Neodiprion lecontei: one gene and its partners. The protein of the gene in region 3 purifies or fractionates together with the protein of the main gene of each other region. This does not show direct contact. Links are inferred from orthologs where the notes say so. Each region holds a gene or a part of one and is shown on either strand. Other genes may lie near its edges.

Region 1 (4,620 bases), about 32 Mb from region 3:
TATTGGGAGCATCGAGGAGAAATCAATTCCAGGTAAATTATATACCGTAATTTGTTGGGACTGGTTTATCTGTTCCTTACTCCTTCTACCAGAAGCAGTCTTCGTAATGCAGATGTTTAAGCTCGAATAATGCTTTGTACGGGTAAAAAAATCCATGACGAACATATTCAAGTAATTTCTAATCGTCAATATCTTTTACAGAGACTTCTGAGCCCTCCAGCTCAAAAATCAGTGAAGAGAATACAATGACTTGGAATAACAATAACAGAGCAAGCAATTCTAAAGTATGTAAATAAATAAATGTTGCATCGAAACTTAGTTTGTTATGGCAATTTTTTGTCTCTCATTTAGGGAAGTATGCAAACATAGAAATGTGGTTACGCAATCAGAATCCAAATAGGGACAGTCAGGAAATTTTGATAAACGACATCCAGATGGGACATCAAATACTTCGCAAGAAATATTAGTTGCACTAATGGATGATACTGTAGAGCGTAGAGCAGATCTTTAACTATGGCTTGAGTTTCAAATTAGTACAAAGAGAGTATGTTATACATATCTTTCTGGTGTCGCTATTATAATTTTTTGTGGTCCGGAAATCTGGAAATACTACAAATCTGTTAATCTCCAACTCGTCGGTTTATTTAGACTATTTTTTATCTATAATAAAATTTCAATATTTAAAGTGTAAATGTAAGCTTGTGAATAAATTCGTCACAGGGATTTTGGCTGCAAAGTCTTGGTAGATCTGCAGATTTTTAATTTTTCATTAATGCTAACTTAACTTGAGACGTAATTAGACCGTTACTAATTACATCTTCCTTTCTGGCACATATGAAGGTCATTACGTGATTTGGTCAGAAAAACGAAGAAATATTGCTCTTGAATATTTTAAATAAAAATCTTGACCTGTTTTTCAATGCAGAAGCACGTTAATTAAGATGACATAGTTTCATTTGATTAGTCCATGCATATTTTCATTTCTTTAATGATATCTATTTTCAGGAACAAGTAATTTCTTCCAAAACTGCTATTTTATAATCGGAGACAGACGTATATACAATTAATATTGTCTACTTTGCGTATGCAATGATTATAAACATTTTAAATATGCGTAATCGATTCACATATTATTTGTGCGGTGGCCAAGTCCATTGGTTAGCAGGTGCTTCTTGGATCAACGGTTCCCAAGGCTTCCAACCTAAGAACTTTCTCGCCAAGTGTAATTCGTTTTCAGCTTGTAGGATTAATTCTTCAGCTTGGCCACAGTTTATGGCTTTTTCAAGGTCTGGCACTTTTAGATTCTGAAACGATTTAAATCCTATAATTTGTCAATATCTTTTTTCTTACCAAGGTAACAAGCATATCTTTTCAATAAACCTTAATGAAAATCACGATTTTCGACTTTACGCGACATCATTCTTGATCAGTTTATAATTTAATAATCTTCCAAGAATAACTATTAATAAATAAACTGTGCAATAATAGTTACATTTTTCACATGAGCAGCTCGTTCCTTAACAATTTTCTCCGTATTGATTCTGTAGGGATAATCCTTGGGCATTTTATCGACGGCTCTAAGAATTTTACTGTACAACACTCCCAAAGTATGATGTGGATTCGGGGCAACGGGCACCCTGGCTAAATTTGTTGACTAAAAAAGAGAATACTTGATATTGAACATTTAAAAAGCATTGAATATACTTAAAAAGGCTTTAAAAAGTCACAGCTCTTTTGGAATATAAACATACGAATCAAATGTCTCAGTCATGAATCTTATAGTTGTTAGTTAGTCGTAAAGAATCCTTCCATCAAACAATGATAGGACTTCTGTGATATTCTGCAAAGTACTTTAGTTATCAATTTAAAAAAACAGAAGCATGGTAATACAACTTGAGCAGTTAGCGATTTTATTATATCTCACAATCAAATATAAGCAGCCACGAGCAGTTACCTTTCTTTGACTACATCCATCCACCAGAGACAATGTCTAACTGGTAGTGAATTTTGCATAAGTGAGTCTCGAAAGGATCGATGACCTTTATAGTTACTGGCGCAGCAATAAAAAAATACGTTTAAAACGCTCCAATTCTTGAAAAATACCGTTTCTCAACGCGTATTCGAGAAGTGATTAATATGATATACAGGTTATGTTGTGTAACACCTGACGTTATTTGCCATAAAGAAAAATTTGCAAGCCCATTTCTAAGAAATACCAACAATTCAACTATGTTAGACATTTACCTTTTTCAAAAGCCCAGCCATATTTTACGCAAATTCTGAATTCCTCGATACTTTGCACAAGTTTTCAGGATTAATTGAGACTACGGATCGCACTCTATCGTCTGCTCACAGCGTCTGCTTGAGACGAAAAACGCAAAACGGTCTGCGCACCGCGTAGACGACGAAAAGAAAACAGGAAAACCGGTACTTAACCTCAAACACGGATCAAATAAATCAGTCGTCGTTGCAGCTTGAATTTCAATCACTTCAGTATATTGTCCGAAAGTGTCGTTGAAATGGAGCTCGATAGTGTGAATAAGGAGATTCTAGTGGACCTGGAGGAGAAATACGTCAAGGTTCGAAAGCTGCTGGACGAGCACAGTAAATTGGACCCGGAGAGTGAGCCGTACAAAAGTAAATATGCGGCAGCCGATATACTCAAGGAAATGCAGATTAAACTTGTGAAAATATTAGACGACAATATAACAGAACACGACAGAAATATTGTGACAGCAATGCTTGCTGTTATCTGGCTCAATATGGGGATAATTTCGGTCGACACGGAGGAATTGGCAGCCGGTGAAGAGCAGCTGACCAACTGCGTGGACCTTTTGATTGACCGAGAACTGAGACCAGAGGCAATATTAGTTATACTTAGTGCTCTGAATCAGCTGGGAATACTCTGGGCCCAGCGAGACAATCCAAAAACATCCCAGAAATATTTAGAAAAAGCTGAAAAAATATACAAGGATTTTACTGCGATTGAAAAAAGCGATAGTACCAAACCCGTACTTATGGCCGCATTGTTCAATCTGAAGGATGATGACGATGACACAGACGCTGAGGAAATAGTCGAACGACTCCACACTCTGACTCTCTACTACTTGGCGCAAATCTATGGAACCTTAAAGGATCACCTCAAATCCGCAGTCTACTGCCACATGACTCTGAAACGTCAGTTGAACCACGAAGATCTGGATTGTGTAGACTGGGCCTTGAATGCTGCGACTTTGTCCCAGTATTTTATGGAAAAGGGAGGGTTTAGGCAGGCCAAACATCACTTGGCTGCAGCTTCATATATTCTGCAAAAGTACGAGGATGAGTTGAGAAGTTTGGACGATACGGAGGAAGTGGTGGCAGCAAAATGGGAAACGTTCAGACATAGAAGCGCAGACGTCGCCAGGTGCTGGGCAAAATATGGGATCCTGCTGTTGAGTACATCCAAAGAAAGGCTGATGCATCATGCCGATGATGAAACGAGCGAAATGTGCTCGGAGATAAGTAGGATGCAGTTGGATGAGAACTCGGGGGTCACTGAAGAATGTATCGAGAATTTAAGATTCACAAAGATAGAGAAAGAAATTGAAACTATTGCAAATCAACTGACAGACAAATATGCTTTGGACTTCAACGATGCCAGGACGATATTTCTGAACTCCCAACAATGGCTTGATGAGGCAAAAAAGTATTACACATTGGAGAGTCATGCGTCGGATCACGTGCAAGTGATACAAGACGTTTCGCAGCTCTTTAAATTCTTGTCATTCTTTGAAGAGGATGAGGATCGCCAATCTAAAATGCACAAGCGGCGGGTCGACGCCTTAGAAAAGATTGTTACAGAGTTAAATCCACAGTATTACCAAACTGTGTGCAGGCAACTATGGATCGAACTGGGCGAAGTTTACTGCGATATTTTAGATATTAAGCTTGAACGTCTGCAAGCGTCAAACGAAAGACCGACCGCCCAGGCACTAACTAAAATCAATAACCTTGCCAGGAGTGCGATTGGAAACTTTCAGAATTTTTTAGATTCTCTGGTGGATCCAGCCACTCACAATTTCCCAGACAAATTTTCCGAAGATTTAGTTAGACCCGCTTTATTTGCTTACTTTTTTTTGGGAAGATTGTATTATAAAATCATAACACCTGACAAACATGCACAGCTAGAAAATCTTCGAAATAGTTTGAATGCCTACAAAGCGCTGATTGGCTACTGTGAGAAGGATGAAAAAGCTGCAGAATTGATGAGCGTGGAATTGAGTGTCTGCAAAGACTTTGTTAATCTTTTACCATTGAAAATAGAAAAATTAACTAGAGAATTGGTATAAATATGATGTCTTTAAGGCAATAAAGATTCATATTCATTTCTTGCTTAATACAGCTTTTTTTGCAAAACATTATTTTAATAAGTTTGTATTATAAGTTATTGAAACTATACATTTTTTACGTAATACTGATATTACTCTCTGTACCTAACAACTCATTAATCTCACGGCTTCATCTGACTGTGTAAATCTGAACATAGGTACAGGCAGTAAAGTCGGTACTTATATTTCTGAAACTGAAATAAAAATACCATGCTTTGTGCGTTTACATCTTACAGTTTGAGCGTATGGT
Region 2 (6,266 bases), on a different chromosome or scaffold from region 3:
ACGTTCAACGAATATAATTTTTTTTTTTTTCCCCCTCCCCGTTTAACGTTAACGCGGTATATTTCTTACAACATGAATTTATAATTTAATATCGTATCGTAGATATGCGTGTACATAGAATTGTATTTTTTATTTTTTTTTTTTGTTTTTTATATAATTAAAATTATTAACTTTTTAACCATAACATATATGTATATATATTTTTTATTTTTTTTTTTTTTTTTATTTGTATTTTTCCTTATATATATAGTTTCTTTATGCTTGCTCCTTTTTTTTTTTTTCACCCCCCTCAACGACTACGCGAGAGTCTTTTTCAACTAGGATAAAATGATATGTATTATATCTCCGACTAGTGTTAGCGATCGGTCAGCGGTGTAACGGATGCATATAATCCAAGGTGCACACTTTTTCGGTTTATTTATTATTTCTATATTTTCTTTGTTTTCCTTTTTTTTTCAAATACTTCGGCTTTTCCCTAAACTAATGGAATTTCGGTTCTGTGCTCGTTGCGTCGAGTCACATTTTAGTGTGACACTGGCGTTGCGCGGTACAACCACACGGTTCGCAGCCGTTCCTCGCTCTTCGGCGCTTCGGAAACCACCCCTATCGCCCCTGTTACCTTTTCCACCCCCTGGCACACGCCGGCCGTCGCCCCCTCCACACCCCAGCCGCCGGCGGTCCTATTGACGTGCGAGTTTCTACTCCCCCGGCCCTCGCTGCCACCGACGGTCTCCCTCCTTCATCCCTGCCCCCGGCTTTCGGGGGTGGAAAAGAAGCCTGATGTAATGCCGTTACGTCACGGCGCGTCTCTGCCAGCACACCTAGCGGTACACTGAGGGAACCACGGGATTAGCATCGTGCGCCGTTTTTCACCACCATTTCCAGCTTCCGGTCTACCCGCCGATTTAAATTCCGTAAAAAAAAAAATAACTATGATTTTGAATATAATTTAAAATATCCAAGTTTCGATAAACTATACCCGTGACCAATATACAATTCAATGCCCAAGAGAATATATTCAAACGATATAACGCAATTATCGCTGAAATTAATTCCAAAATTTTTCCATGTGATGCTTCAGTTTTTTATGAAAATCATTACTTACTGATTTTTTAGTAATTTGCTGTTACTCGTGATATTGTACTGGATATATGTCAGAATTTCACCAAGTATGCTCAAGAATCATAAATAGTTAATACCATTCTTCTCGAGCCAAAGTTAGAAGGAATATAAAAGCAGTCGGTTCGGACTTAAGGTATCTATTTTCGAATCTTTATCGAAACTGAAACAAATTATTTTATTCGATTCTATTGCATAGTTTTCTAACAACAACGAATTGATCTTACCAATCTGAACTGAATTTTCTTAACTATAGCACGTGAAACGTTGCAGGAGGCTCAGTCAAGATAAGAGATATAAATGGGTGCATTTTATATGCACCTCTCCTTCCAGCCGTAATAAATCTAGCCTCTAATCTCATTGCTGTACTGTACAGCAAACTGCAGTGATGCATTTTTCATACAACTACGGTAGCTTTCAAGCTTTAAATAATCGATGTTACCGAATCGCGCCTTAACGTCTGCAACCCGTAAGCCTTGTGTGATTATTCGCTGCCTACAAAACGGCAACATCTATGTATAAAATCAACCTCTTCTTTTTGATGTTCAACCTTTCAGCATCGATTTTTCATCTTCGCTGCAGATCTGTATGCAATTCTTACGTGAATCTTAAGCTGAAACAACTTATTGAGGTCTAAGGTAACTTCTTCCCGTGACAAAATCATTAGCCAAATTTTACCGCTGGCTGATCGGCAAAAAACAAACATTCATTTTTTTTTAACCTCGGGCGGATCATCCATCGCGCATGCCCCTGACATTTTGGAGATATTTTGAACTGCTAGTTTGGCCAATGGCGTCGTCAAAATTTTGTATCTTGAGTTGTATTTTTAGGTTATGTTACATCGCACCATCCATTGACTTGCAGAGATATCGGGACCAACAATTCCCAATTCAATAGCTACAAAATGTTAAATGTCGCGGGAAGACGAATACCGTATCTGATAGGTATACATTTACCGTTTTGGCAGTATGATATACCCGATAAAACTGTACAAACTGCCAAATCATTTAACTCTGATGCGAACGAAAATGAAACCGGCTGGGATAGGTTAAGAAACATGTACAGTCTCGAGTATGTACTTGTTTTATTAATAGTAGACCTTCGTTATCCCGCTTGTTACAATCAACGCACGACACTTTCATGTGTCATTCTCAAAACTAATTTTTTCCCTTTTCAAATCGTTCTACCCTCTGTTGCCTTCAATTTGTTCTTTGTTCCTTTCTTGACATCCGCACATCGAATTGTCTTCTATCTTGTCAATCCATTAAATAATGCAGCCGTTTACGTTACAGCGAGTATGGAAACCGAAGTCCTGAAATGCACTTCGCTGTACAAGCAACATTTTTTGGAACGTTTGTTGGACTCGTATATGGAGGCTCACTGAATTCACGTATGGCGTATGTAAATTTCATGGAGAGAAATCAGGCGACAGCATTCACAAACATATTCGAGGCGAAAAGAAAATTGCAAGATACTGTTACAATCAGTTTTGCCAAGGGTGCTTATCACTGGGCATGGAGAATCGCCTTTTTCACTGGCTCTTATGTGTGAGAATCTTACGCTAAAATTTCACGCAACAAACTAATCTAGTATCTTAGAATATTTTGAGTTTCAGATTTAGCCAACTACAGTCGTCCTAAAAGTATGTTAAAATTGTAGATTACTGACAACCTCGATCGCAGTTTATCGTGGCAAGTCATCTCTTTTAGAATATGTAACTGCGGGTACTATAACTGGAGCGATGTATAAAACAATGTTGGGTCCGAGAGCAATGCTTGTTGGCGGAGCTGTGGGAGGAGTTTTCGGCGGTGTAGCTGGTGCATTGTGTTTAGCATTGTTAAAAATAAGTGGTACGACGATGGAGGAAATCCGATACTGGCAATACAATTGGAAGAAGAGCAGAGACAAGTGAGAGACGGTCACTGATTTGAACGTGCCGTTATCATTTTTCAAGTATTTTTAGCTCACTTACGTACAGTGTGTATGAATAAGTCGTTCTAATTAAAGTATTTTCTCTCATTACAGGCGAATTCAGAGTTCTATGAGTCGCGTTATCCAGCAGCCAACAGACATCGAAATGTTGCATGACAAAAAAGTGGAAAGTCTAGAGGTGCAAGAGCAAGAGGTTAAGAAAAGTAAAGCATAGTCACTCAATTTAGGTAGGTCTATTTCCATTGGTCTTGTAGATATTAGACTTTATTCGTTGTTATACATAATTATAATTTATTTTAAATTGTTCAGAGAACAATTATAATTTAATTAATAATTTCTAATAATAATATGTGGTTTTTTCTGTTTCTTTAAAGTACATTATATGTATATAACTCATGCAGACTTAATTCACTAGTACCTAAGGCAACGGCACATTTTTATGATTGCTAAAATTGTATATGAGTACGTTTAAGAAAATGGGTGTCGATCATGTGCGAATTATATTTCTTTACGTTATTTTCAACATTAGTTACACCTGTCTAACCCAATACTTGAAAAATTTGTTATATTATAACATGTTAAATTCTCAATCCTTCAAATTGATGCAATTTCCTGCAAGTGATTAAATTATGATACCTTGGATAACACAATTTTTATATAATGATTATAAAAATCGCTAATCTTATTCTCTATCACTGCAATAAACTATATACCGATTGTGCCAATAAAATACATAATCAAATTTGAGCAATTGCTGAAAAATGTCTACTGATCCCTCTAATCGAATAATTTGAATGTAAAATTCTGATCTACAGCAGCATGCATGTTCACAATGAAACGAAAATATTCTTGATAGAACACTGGTCATAATTCGCAAACATTGAGAGATATTCCTAATTCGATATTTTATGAGCCCTATTCTGCAGGCAAGTATTAATACTGAAAATTTCCATGCTCAATACTAAACATAAGTTCTGATGGAAATTCGAGGCAGCTGTTTATTGCATAGTTTTGAAGTTAGCAAAGTCGTTACCGTGTATGCAATAAATACTACATATGCTCACAGAATAGGCCTGATAATCAACGACATATACGATATGCAAATTAGAAATGTATAGAAAAAAAAAGTTCTTGTCTAGTCAACTTCATTCGATCAATATTTCATTGTACACTATAAAACGAAAACCGAATTTTCCCATTTGGATGAATAATAAACGAGAAATGTACTAGAAGTGAATAAAAGCACTGAATTTGACAGTCAAAATTAAGCAAAGAGTAATGTTGCGGAATAAATAGTAATAAAGCGTTGGGCAGTTTACTAAAATCTTACAGCCTGCTTGAATTTGTTATTGTCCTAATTGTATAATTCATCAGAGTTTTATATTAAGTTTCTTGTTCTGCAGTTTCTGGAGTTTGAATCTTGGTCAAACGTTTAGCACCTCTGTTTGGCGGACCTTTGGGTTTGGCAAACTTAGGTCGGTGCAAATTGACTTTCGGATGTAATTCCTCTTGCAAAAATTCCATGGTTAGTTCCTTTCCGTCATCAATCTCAAGCTACAGACCGAAAAATTTTGCATAAACAGAATTAAATTTCTACAATTTTCAGTAACAAGAAATAGAGATACTTGGACGTTTCAAGCTCAAATTATCATCCAAATGTTACGATTGGATATAAATAATTTACAATAAAAAATCATGGTATACCAATGTCAGGCCTATACTGTAAGCTTATAAAATATAATTACTAAATATTAAACGCTATTACGTACCCGTACGATGATGTTATCACCCTGGCATTCATTCCCACCTATTGAATTTTATTTGTCTATTTTCATTTACAATATACGTATATAGCAAAATAAAATTATTGAAAGAACTGTGGATTACAGTAAGATATTGACAAAAGCAAGAAATATTCTTTTTAAATTGTATAATTGTGTTTATTATTCATAATATATTTAATATTGGCAAGAATATACAATTTATTTGTTCATAAGAAGGAACCTATAATGTTTTTAACAAAATTTTCTTTATAAATAATCAATCAATACAATGAACGCATCTTACAGAATAGGCCTGGCCTGGAACAGTGGTACTTATAAACATAATTTGCGCCTGGGCGAACGTGTGCGTCTCCCCCTTATGCATATATCGGAACACAATTTCAAATTTTGAGCGTCGTATAGAAAACCATTGGGCCCGAAAAAATTTTAGTATAGTTCTATCATACAAAACTTAGATGATCACGATTTTTCCACAAAAACAGCCCATGTAAATTTGTGATATGAATAATACCGTAAATCGTTTCTGTTATTCATATTTATATGGTTTACTATTCAGATAGAAAAAAAATATACAGGAAATATCATATTCGGAAATTCGATGAATTCAATCAATCGCCATTGTATTTCTACATTGAGCGTTGAGACATATACTTGCAAAAAGTTATTTCAACAGTGGCGGGGGATCTGGGGGGGGGGGGGGGGCAATTTCTCAAGATAGTTTGTGACTACGATAGGATTACGAATTCACAATTATTTTTTCTATCAAAGGTAGATAAAAATGCAAAAAAAGTGACCACGTAAATTTGCATACTTTCAATTTCATGTTTCTTTTCTTTTTTAACAAGTCCCAGATCATAAGTTAAAATCCAAAGATTTCTAAAACGCTTATAAAAAGCTACAAGAGTTAAAAAATACACGTCACGAAAAATATAATGCCTCTCGAATATCATCATCTTGTTGTTGCCTATCTGACAACTCTCCCACTCTGTATAACTGTGTAAATTTTGATCAATATTATGCTAACTTTATACATAGATATAACAATTTTGGCAAATTCGAATCACGATTGATCAGTTTCGCTGATTGTATCGTTAATCATAGAACATTTAATCTCCAATTTCGTTTTATATTCCTTTGATATCATGTCTGGGGAAATATTTATCGTGTAGTAATGTATACTTGTATCAGTGATAAAAAAAAGCTTTGTGCAACAAGATTGGGCAATGATTCTTACAGGCAATGATACAGATATATCACTCTTAACCATTGGACATCAACCCAAAGTGCTTGGAAAGTCAAGAGATAAGATGTATCTATTAATATCGTGTAACTAATAAGAAATAATTCTTCGATAATAACTCAAGATTTCAAAGAAACATATGATTTTAAACTGTATTTAAATCAGCTGCGTCAATATTTTGCATAGCAATA
Region 3 (4,852 bases):
ATTACTTTGTACATAGTGCAAATGTCTCGAAACGTGGGGAAGATGTAAGTTTTCGTGCAGATATGTTGTGTGTACTTGCATATAAAGAATGAGCACATCAACCGGCTGGTTTTGGCACAATATAACAACTGCATTTACACTAGCGTCGTAAAGCAAAAGTATGTATTGTAGTATGAATAGTATTGTATATTGTTTTGTCCAAGAGAAGATCATCTTAGTATGTGTGGATAACTTTTGTGAAAACGACTTAGGTCTTATCTCCATTCAGCTTAATAGCTGCTGTGATATTTCGTACGGTTGTCATGGCAATGGTAGACTTGCACTCCATCTTGCTCACTGCGACCCCATTGTGGTTGGAGACTAAACTCGAAAGTGACTACACGTGGAAAAAATCGATAGTTTAGTCATAAAATGTTAAATTATTGCGATTTTTACTAGACCCACTTTTTTACAGTCCGCTCTTTGTTTCACACTAACCATTGAATCTTTTGTGTATGTTCCAAAATGCGGGTGATTCCAATTTCTTATATATTTAGTAGGGTTGTAACACATATCTCCTGTATAATTGCAAAACAATGCAATTTCTACATCATTTCCGTGCAGTCATAAAAAATTTGTGTCATTTGTCTTCACATATATTTAGCCAACGTACCAGCATGCATCAATCAAGACTTGGAAAGTCACTGAAATGTCATTAGCTTACCCCATGTTGTAATGAGCATAATGTGGTTCAAAAGCTATCCCTCGTTACCATTCGTTAATAATCGTATTAGGATCAAGTGTGACTAAATTCAAAAACAACTTTCGTATTTTATTGAATATTCACATGTAGAACTATTCCTAACAATTTTACAGGCATTTACTAATAGTATCATATATATAACTATGTCAGATGCTTTGGATTATTCTGATCTTTCATCTTTTCATGCAACGAAGGTTGCAGTGGTGTTTCTTTCAGCTCCTTTTCAGGGATGTAGAGTTTAAACGTCCTGAAGTATTTCAATATATTACCTGTAAAATAATCAGTTTTCATATTGCACGAAAAAATACAGGTATCTTGGGTAGATAGGGGCTTCACTAGTGATTGTATTAGAAAAATAAACCGACATCATTAAATTTAATATTAATTTCAGAGTTTGGCAACTCAGAAGTGCATGAATGTGCAGTCCATTGCAACCACATTACTATAGAGCTGTCTGAAGATTATGTGTTATAGCAACGGCAACCTCACTCTTGTGCAACTTGATACAGAGCTGAAATGTGTGACTAAATGCACTATGTGATACAACTAGTCGAAATACCTTGCTCTCTGTGCGAGTGCAGTCTCTTGTGATGTAAAAAGCAGGTTTTTGATTATCTCTGTATAAAAATTAGTTACTGCATAATTCATGACGATGTTCCACTTTAATGTTTAACATGTATGAAAACTCAAACAAGTTGAGAAAACTGTCATACTTATTGAACTTATAACAAAGAATTTCGATTGTTGGTGCATTCAAAATTGTGTCATCGCAGGCACGCTCCAATCATGACCCTTAGATGGCCTGTTAATTTTTTGTACGCTTGTTAGTGGTAAATTGATCATACTTGTAGATTCGAGACTGAGTTTATACTCAGCAGCTATTTCAGCAGCAGTGTGTTTTGTTGGCTCTGTATTATGATCTGTTATGAATTTGATAGCTTGGCGCAAAGTACATCTCCCTATCGTAACTTCAGTTGGTTCAAAAACGCCAAACTCCAAGTCATCCCTGACAGTTCTGGACTGGGGAAGAGGCCGATCTGGATTTTTGACATGAAGTTTCTCCATCATCTGTAATTTCCAGATATAACGTAACAGAATACTCAACTCATCTACAACGGATTACGTAACTATTGGAATGATAAGTGTTACCTCTGCTGTATGAGATACAAGGTAGACATTTTTCAGATGATGATCAAGCTTCGCATCTTTCATGTTATGTTTTTTCAGGAAATCAGAATCTGCTGTAAATTTATTAAATGCCGATTGTACAACTACTTGGCAATGGTAACAGCAAGAATCAGGAAGTCATATTCATTGAGTTGATACTTGCAGGGCGTTGCGAACACTTGCCTTCGTTCATTATTTCAGATTGTCTTGCAGACGGTTTGTGGTGAGGTGCGGGAGTTGGTTTTTCTTTCGAAATAACTTTGTGGGCACGGTTCTCGATATTGAACCTTTGCAATTGTCGTGACAGCATTGACATTCCCTTTCCCATTTGGCTATCTACTTAATATTGATTACCTTAAACGTATCAAGAATGTAACATAAATACTGGCTTGTTTGTGACTTAGAGATATGATAAACATGCTCTACGCGGATAAGTAACCCGGCTCTACATCGGCTGCGAGAGATTCTTTAGAGAGGTTAGAGTTAGGCTCACATTGGCTCACGTCGTATCGATGCGGAAAACAGAAGAAGACGTTACTCAAAATAACAATTGTAGACTTGTCAACGGAGTCTTTCTCCGCGGTGGCGAGGCTAAAAAATGTAGCTCCATATACTTAGCCCGTCCTCAATATCCGAATGAGTGGATTTAGTTTTTAATAGCTCGTTGGACATTTGTTGGTGTTGATAGTGAGTTCCCGACGTTTAATAGTCAATAGTTGAGTGGTTGTGAATGGCGAAAAGTATCTCAGCTCGGCACTTTTTGGCCCCTGAAATGCGGGAGACGATGGGAATAGTAACACGTGTCAAAAAATTACACATTTTTTTTGGGCGATTTTCGAAATATGAGTAACTTTCCTGAATTCCGCTACAAAAGAGCGATATACCCGCGAACTTTGAATTCTTTCTGTTTGTTTGTTTATTTAATACCTAATATAGGAAGAAAGAGTGGGAGTTTTCTCAGTCCGTAAGGGTAGGAGTGCTAAATGCTTTTCAGAACAGGCTATATGACTTCAACTTTCACGGATCAGTGAAAGGCGGAAATTGATATCTTCAATCGACGTTGTTTTCATATCATCAATACTCCTGTTTACGTATCATGGAAACTATCAGAAACTATCATATGTATATTTTGTTCTGCCCCAGAAAAAAAGTCCAAGGCCTGGGTAATATATATAGACTACGCAGTCAAGAACGACCGAGTACGTAGATACCGGATGAACTTCGGATTGACCGATTTGAGTTGCTGAGGTTTTTTTATAATTTGGAGCTCTTTCTTTCTCGCGAGAGAGGAGAGCGGTCATTCGTCACTTGGTGATTGTTTGTAGTACTTCCACTTACGTACATGGTTATTTATAGAGAACCAATGGATATCCATCACCGATTTCAATCACACCGCAAACATTCGGGATTTCTGTAGAGTCTATTAGAGATCCACCATGAATATGGATCTTTTATGGAGCTGTGCGCATGGATTTCGCAAACGGCATATAAAAAAAGTAACGCACTCGTCATTTGCTGAGCCTCAGTCAACTTTCTTACGAGCATTGACTGAAGAATATATCTTCAGTTATAACGTTACGAGTAACGAAGTTTTCAATGTTGATCGCGCAGTTTGTGCATTGATTTTATTCTTCTTGGTTCTGAGACAAAGCACGGCATTTGCAAGCCGGTGGTCATCGCGCGGGGATATCTATTGCAGAGTGTACAGTGACAGTGAAGCATCTTGCCGTGAGTATTTATGAGATATATCTGAAAAGTGCAAAAGTATTTTTTCAACACGTTCATGGAATTGTGCCTCGCCTTAATTTTTCTTGTATGTAAGGACGTAAGGTGAATGGAAAATTGCTTACTTCGAGCGTGGATTTCGTTACCTTCCCGTCGTTTTCCCAAGGAGGTAATGAGCAATAAAATAAAACTGAATGATCTCGTTTGTCAATCATTGTTCTCATGATTAATTCATGTAAGTGAAATCAAACGTGAAACGCAATTATTTTATTTCGCCCAAAATTCACGATAAGGGCCTTATACATGCTCTTGTTAGAAACAGCCCGGTGTACAACAGGCGTAGGGGCTACTTCTACCGAATAGCCTTCAGCACCCTCGATTCGAACTTGTGTATCATCATGTGACCAAGGGTACAAATCATACACCAACATCATACATCATATCATACATAGTATGAACGTTCGAAATCCAAATTTCGAATGTTCGGATGTTCAGAAATTACATTTCGACGTTACCGAAAGTTTTTTTTTTTCATATAATATTCGACCACGCTAATCAATCAGCAGAATTCCTCAGTCCGGAAATAAACGCGCAGTAGAGAGGACGTACGAAAATCGCGCTCGGCAAATTTCGAGCATCAAGTCCTCTATCTCCTGGGTACTGCGCTCCAGGTCGTCCACCTGGTGAATTTCGACTTCCAAGGCGAGCACTCCGTAGCTTCTGTGCCTTAGATCCTTTACCTGTGGAGTCTCGAATTTCAGGACGAACACTCCGTAGTTCCTGGGCTCCAAGTCGTCTACCTGGTGAATTTCGGTTTTCTGGACTAGCGCTTCGCATTTCCTGGGCTCCGGGTCGTCTACCTGGTAAATTTCGTCTTTCAGGACTCGACTTTCAGGACGAACGATCTGTAGTTCCTGGGCTCCAGGTCTTGTACCTGGTGAATTTCGACTTTCAGAACAAGCGCGCCGCAATTCCTGGGCCCCAGGTATGAGAACTTATTTTGTTTTAATAGTTAAATCATGTGTATTAATAAATAAATACGGATAATCACGTTCATCGTGCCCCAGGTTTTTCTCTTCCAAAGTGAGTGTCCCAATTACGTCGAATTTAAAAATTCAATCTATTACTTGATAACTCAATGGTATCAAGTAATGTTATGTTATACATCCCACTAAATTATTCGTTGTCCTAGAGCCTCTAGAGCTCTTACGTGAGTTT
Region 4 (4,523 bases), on a different chromosome or scaffold from region 3:
CGGCTTGGAAGCTTCTAGAACGTTTTCGTTTCGTCGGTAAGTTTCCTAATGTATTCTCTAGGTGAAGCTCTGTTGGCTCCACATTGGAGATCTGCATTGCCTTCAAAACGTTGCGCGTGTTGCCTACAATACGGCGTTGCGAAAGAAGGTATAGTTCATGCTGGGTAATTAGCATTCACGGTTTGATGGTTTTGCAGTCTCTGGTTTTATGGGTTATTGCAGCAGTGCTATCTTTACATTATATTGGTTATGCATTTATCTATGGTTTTACAGTCTTCTATACTCCAGGCTATATAGTAAAGCGTATGTTGCTTAAGTATAGCTCTCAGCTCCGAATGCACAAATGGCATTGTTGAGTGCTATATAATAATTGGGTATAATTGTGTTAGTTAATTATAGTGTTAATATGATAGTGATATATAATAACGTATAATAGTATTATAGTTCTCTGTGGTACGAAGATCTCGTAACATGGTTTTTAAGCCTTGGCTAGTGAATTTCATAGTTATTTCCATCTAGGGATATTCCAAATAGTTAGACAGTTGTTTTAATTTCTTATGGTTACAAGATTCTCGTACTTCGAGTTTGGTTAGTTGATAAAAGTAACATGCAGTAATAATAATCGATAAAACATACGGACGTTCCGGTCGGACGTTACACGAGCTTCCTTGAGGAAACCTTCGGCACTGCGATTGGCTGTTTCGTTTCATGTAGCCAACGCTTGCGCTCGGCGTCTATGCACTTATGACCCGTATGACGCGGATCACAGCCAGTCTACGGGTTAACTTCTTTGAGGTTACACACTCTCATCAACCGACGCGACTTGACAATGAGAGCCAAGTGGTTTAAGTTAGATTTAAATACAGCCGAGTGGCGCTTCGATCAGCAGTTTTACCACCATAAGCAATCTCATATCCCTAAATATGTCCTCCTTCTGGAAGGGAGAGCCAAGTTGTGACTATGAAACGAGGACGCCTCTGAGATTCAAGGAAGCCTTCATCAAGGCGTCCTTTATCCTTGAGATAAGGAGTTACTATGAATACGGGTGTATGGGCGCAACTCGTTAATGCTTAAACTCAAAAAATCGAGCAAGATTGGTCAAAACTGGTAAATGCAGTAATGTTAAGTAAACCCCGGTGGAAAACGCTATAAGATACTTTTGGGCGAACGCGCCTAGAAATTTTTGCCCACGTTATAGTGAGAAAAACTGGAACACGCGTGTCTTGACCTGGTATAATCTAGGGACCTTGTCAGGGTGCGATTTAAACGCCTGTATATATACCCGTATTCATAGTCTCTCCTTATTTCAAGGATAAAGGACGCCTTGATGAAGGCTTCCTTTAATCTCAGAGGCGTCCTCGTTTCATAGGGTGTATTCCGAAATATACTGACAGTACTGCAAGTACTGGCAACCACGTTCCGAAATCGCGCGACAGCTTACTGCCGCCACTCAGTGACGTCATGAAATTTGTGATGTTGTTGACTGCGACTACTGCGGTCGGGGATGTGAGGCAGCTGCACTACTTGAGAGATGGCCGCGTCCTCGGTGTAGCGTTCCGATTTTATTGCGGCTGGCAACTCGAAGTAAAAACGGTACGCAGTTCGCAGTTGACTGCGTAACGTCACGGTCGGCAGTACCGGAAGTATATTTCGGAATACACCCTTAATAGGTTACGATCAGCATCCTTCTTTTTTTACATTTTGTAGCGAAAATTTCCCTTTTTTCCGTAAGAGGCGCTCAAATTGCGATCAGACAATTCTTCTTACGTTACCTCCTCAGAGCACATACCACTAAGGTTACCTCAAAACTGGGGACAAGTTTTATCGCAGTTTTAATTGTCTCCTTCGTACTTTTCCGTGCTATCAAATCAAACTATTGGCAATTATAGAAAGATGAAGAATTATGGTGTTATTTTACGAGCAGTAAAAAGCAGCAGCAGTTTTCCCCTATCACTTCCGGTGCAAGTTTCTGCTGCTCGCAGTTCGGTTTCTCGAGCGACAAGCCACAAGACCACAAGAAGCCACGACCTATTTCATGAGCAGTGCTGCTGCTGCGTAAAATTAGCAGACTGATGCTAGTGAAAACTAGTAAGTTACTAAACCACTGCTGCTTTTTACTGCTCGTGAAATAGCACCCTTACGCTGCTTTTTCACGTGCAGCAAACAACCGAATGCGGCAGCTGCTAAAATTTTCTGATTGGTCAATGATTAATGGTGTACATACACACATGGATCTTGCTGTACATACATGCATCAAAATTGCTGCGAAGTAGAAACCCATTGTAGAAACGAACGTACTTTCGTTTGCTGCATACACAACAGAAGCCGCCCCCCCCCCCCCCCCCCCCCCCACGCCAACGCCAACACGTATGTATGCACGTATGTACGTAGCAGGCAGCCCCTGTGTCCATTGTCACATGTATTTATTACTGGCGATGCAACGAAGTGGCACGGGAAAGATATTACTAGGCGTTCGTTTATTATCACAGACAGTATCGGCAAGTGAATTACGGTGGAGTATGTTGCACGGCGCGTATCATCAGTAGTGATGTACTTCAGGATTCCACGGATGGTGGCAACAGTCACCAGATGTGAACACGTTGGGATACAAGTACGTCGGTTTTGGGAACAAGATCGCAAATCAGGTTATCCGCGAGTCGCAGCAAAAAGCTCATCCGAAAAACGAAACGACCTCTGGCACATTCGTAATGGCTTTCGTATACTCGGGGACGAGTTTAAACTCTTCAAACGTGAGGTAATTGAACACTTGGAAAGTGATCCGTTGTTGATATATCGAAAGGACGAAATTGACCTCGCTTGGCGGTTCAACGGTGACAAAAAGTCACTCGACCAATGGTTTGTCACCGCCGATAGTGACTATGAGGAAGGTTACTCAAATTGCAGGTGATTATGAGAAATTTGCATTCAGGCCCACGATTCGTGAAACAAGGACCTCAAATATTGCAGCCTAGTTTCATGAATCCGGCCCCAAATCGCATAAATATCTAAACTATAATCACTGCAGTACAGTTACGACACGTTGGAATGCTATTCCTCGACACGAGAAAATCCTTTGAGAATTTCAATAACGATTTTTTTTCGCTTTTCCTATCCACGCGAAGCCTGCAATTGACCAAGTCTGGCAGAGGGCTGTTTTCTGGATACTTGGACAAACGTGTACCAAAAACAGGAAACATCAAAAAGGCAGGATATTGCAACATTAATACTCTACGTGCTCGCAAGTCCTTCAAACGAGAAGGTTACTATGACTGGCATCCCTATAATCATCTGGTAATGCGGGTTAGAGGGGACGGTAGATCCTACATGCTCAACATATCGACAGCTGGATACTTTGATATAACTTGGAATGATGTCTATCACTATGCACTCTACACAAGAGGTGGACCTTATTGGCAGTATGTGAAAATACCTTTTTCAAAATTCTTCATGGCCAGCAAAGGAAGAATCCAAGACCACCAAGAGCCATTACCCCTGCACAATGTAGTTAGCTTCGGAATTACCGCAGCTGACAAGGTGACAGGGCCGTTTAACTTGGAAATTGACTACATCGGATTGTTATTTGATCCAAGTCATAAGGAAGAATGTGCGTATGAAATGTACAAAACTGACGACTACATCGCCGGATATTGATGTAGTTGCACAGACATTTATCTGTTTTTCCTCCATTTCAACAGCTCAGAAATTTCTGTTTGTAATTATAATTCTCCGTGGAGGAAATCAAATTGTAGCCAGGTTCACGTAGGATAATAAAAAATCTCATAAACATATATGACTCTGAATGGATAGACCATTCAATATCTTCTCTCCCTGCTAAGAAGTAACTGTCTCTGCTGAATTTTCTTCATACAGGATAAAAAATGTAAATCGTACAAAACCTAATCATTCATGTTTTCACCTAAATTTAATTATTAGTTGAACTAACGTTCCACGAGCGTTCATCAAGACACCTGCCGGTAAGCCAGGTCCGTTGTTTGTAGTCAAATTGCACGTTACTACCATCACGGCACAGGATTGCCGGTTCAGTTCGGATATCACAGCTTTTATTAGAATGCCTATCCAGCCATTAGAAAATGTCCAGCTTAGCTATCTCGTCCCTTAGGTATAACAGCAAACAGAAAATGACAGGAAGAAAACGACTTTCATGTCACCTGCTGGGTCGATTCGGCGTCAAATTTATGCAGTAGAATGTGATTGGTACAATTGATATTACATCCGGTTATACCGTGATCGATTTCGTCAATAGGAAAGCGGACGAAGATTGACTTGGATCTCAACCAGTTTAGTTACTATCCACCTGTAAACATGGCTGTAACTGTTATACACTTTATTGTGACAAATGGGAACGTAACAAACTAGCGAGAATAGAATTTGCATCAATCGTTGTACCAGGATACTATCACTGTAGTGTCCAGATCGAATATCAATCAGTTGATGATGACTTACACATTGACTGCTGATGAGCCATTGAGCCGGCAGTCAGACTGTGGTTCACAGATACGCTT

The links.
Region 1: the proteins of protein NDUFAF4 homolog (region 3) and NADH dehydrogenase [ubiquinone] 1 alpha subcomplex subunit 5 purify together in Homo sapiens (co-immunoprecipitation; 3 studies listed by BioGRID and IntAct, with this or other methods). This does not show direct contact. The link is inferred for Neodiprion lecontei from reciprocal best matches to the Homo sapiens genes NDUFAF4 and NDUFA5.
Region 2: the proteins of protein NDUFAF4 homolog (region 3) and RPII140-upstream gene protein purify together in Homo sapiens (affinity purification with mass spectrometry; 3 studies listed by BioGRID and IntAct, with this or other methods). This does not show direct contact. The link is inferred for Neodiprion lecontei from reciprocal best matches to the Homo sapiens genes NDUFAF4 and TIMMDC1.
Region 4: the proteins of protein NDUFAF4 homolog (region 3) and complex I intermediate-associated protein 30, mitochondrial purify together in Homo sapiens (co-immunoprecipitation; 3 studies listed by BioGRID and IntAct, with this or other methods). This does not show direct contact. The link is inferred for Neodiprion lecontei from reciprocal best matches to the Homo sapiens genes NDUFAF4 and NDUFAF1.

The regions. Positions count from the first base shown.
Region 1 is NC_060260.1:32,435,310-32,439,929, reverse strand, and holds NADH dehydrogenase [ubiquinone] 1 alpha subcomplex subunit 5, read right to left. Parts: upstream 2,401-4,620; 5' UTR 2,266-2,400; coding exon 2,245-2,265; intron 1,655-2,244; coding exon 1,493-1,654; intron 1,305-1,492; coding exon 1,131-1,304; 3' UTR 951-1,130; downstream 1-950. Other genes in the region: uncharacterized protein LOC107218492, read left to right, coding at 1-32, 202-296; KIF-binding protein, read left to right, coding at 2,520-4,331. UniProt on the Homo sapiens protein: Accessory subunit of the mitochondrial membrane respiratory chain NADH dehydrogenase (Complex I), that is believed not to be involved in catalysis. Complex I functions in the transfer of electrons from NADH to the respiratory chain.
Region 2 is NC_060263.1:36,271,222-36,277,487, forward strand, and holds RPII140-upstream gene protein, read left to right. Parts: upstream 1-1,912; 5' UTR 1,913-2,023; coding exon 2,024-2,190; intron 2,191-2,411; coding exon 2,412-2,666; intron 2,667-2,778; coding exon 2,779-3,027; intron 3,028-3,144; coding exon 3,145-3,265; 3' UTR 3,266-4,434; coding exon of another isoform or gene 4,435-4,605; 3' UTR 4,606-5,244; downstream 5,245-6,266. Other genes in the region: twinfilin, read right to left, coding at 4,435-4,605.
Region 3 is NC_060260.1:87,606-92,457, reverse strand, and holds protein NDUFAF4 homolog, read right to left. Parts: upstream 2,688-4,852; 5' UTR 2,403-2,687; intron 2,397-2,402; exon of another isoform or gene 2,264-2,396; 5' UTR 2,238-2,263; coding exon 2,093-2,237; intron 1,984-2,092; coding exon 1,892-1,983; intron 1,811-1,891; coding exon 1,588-1,810; intron 1,012-1,587; coding exon 884-1,011; 3' UTR 791-883; downstream 1-790. Other genes in the region: transmembrane protein 138, read right to left, coding at 80-264. UniProt on the Homo sapiens protein: Involved in the assembly of mitochondrial NADH:ubiquinone oxidoreductase complex (complex I). May be involved in cell proliferation and survival of hormone-dependent tumor cells. May be a regulator of breast tumor cell invasion.
Region 4 is NC_060266.1:45,079-49,601, forward strand, and holds complex I intermediate-associated protein 30, mitochondrial, read left to right. Parts: upstream 1-2,362; 5' UTR 2,363-2,548; coding exon 2,549-2,904; intron 2,905-3,122; coding exon 3,123-3,651; 3' UTR 3,652-3,788; downstream 3,789-4,523. UniProt on the Homo sapiens protein: As part of the MCIA complex, involved in the assembly of the mitochondrial complex I.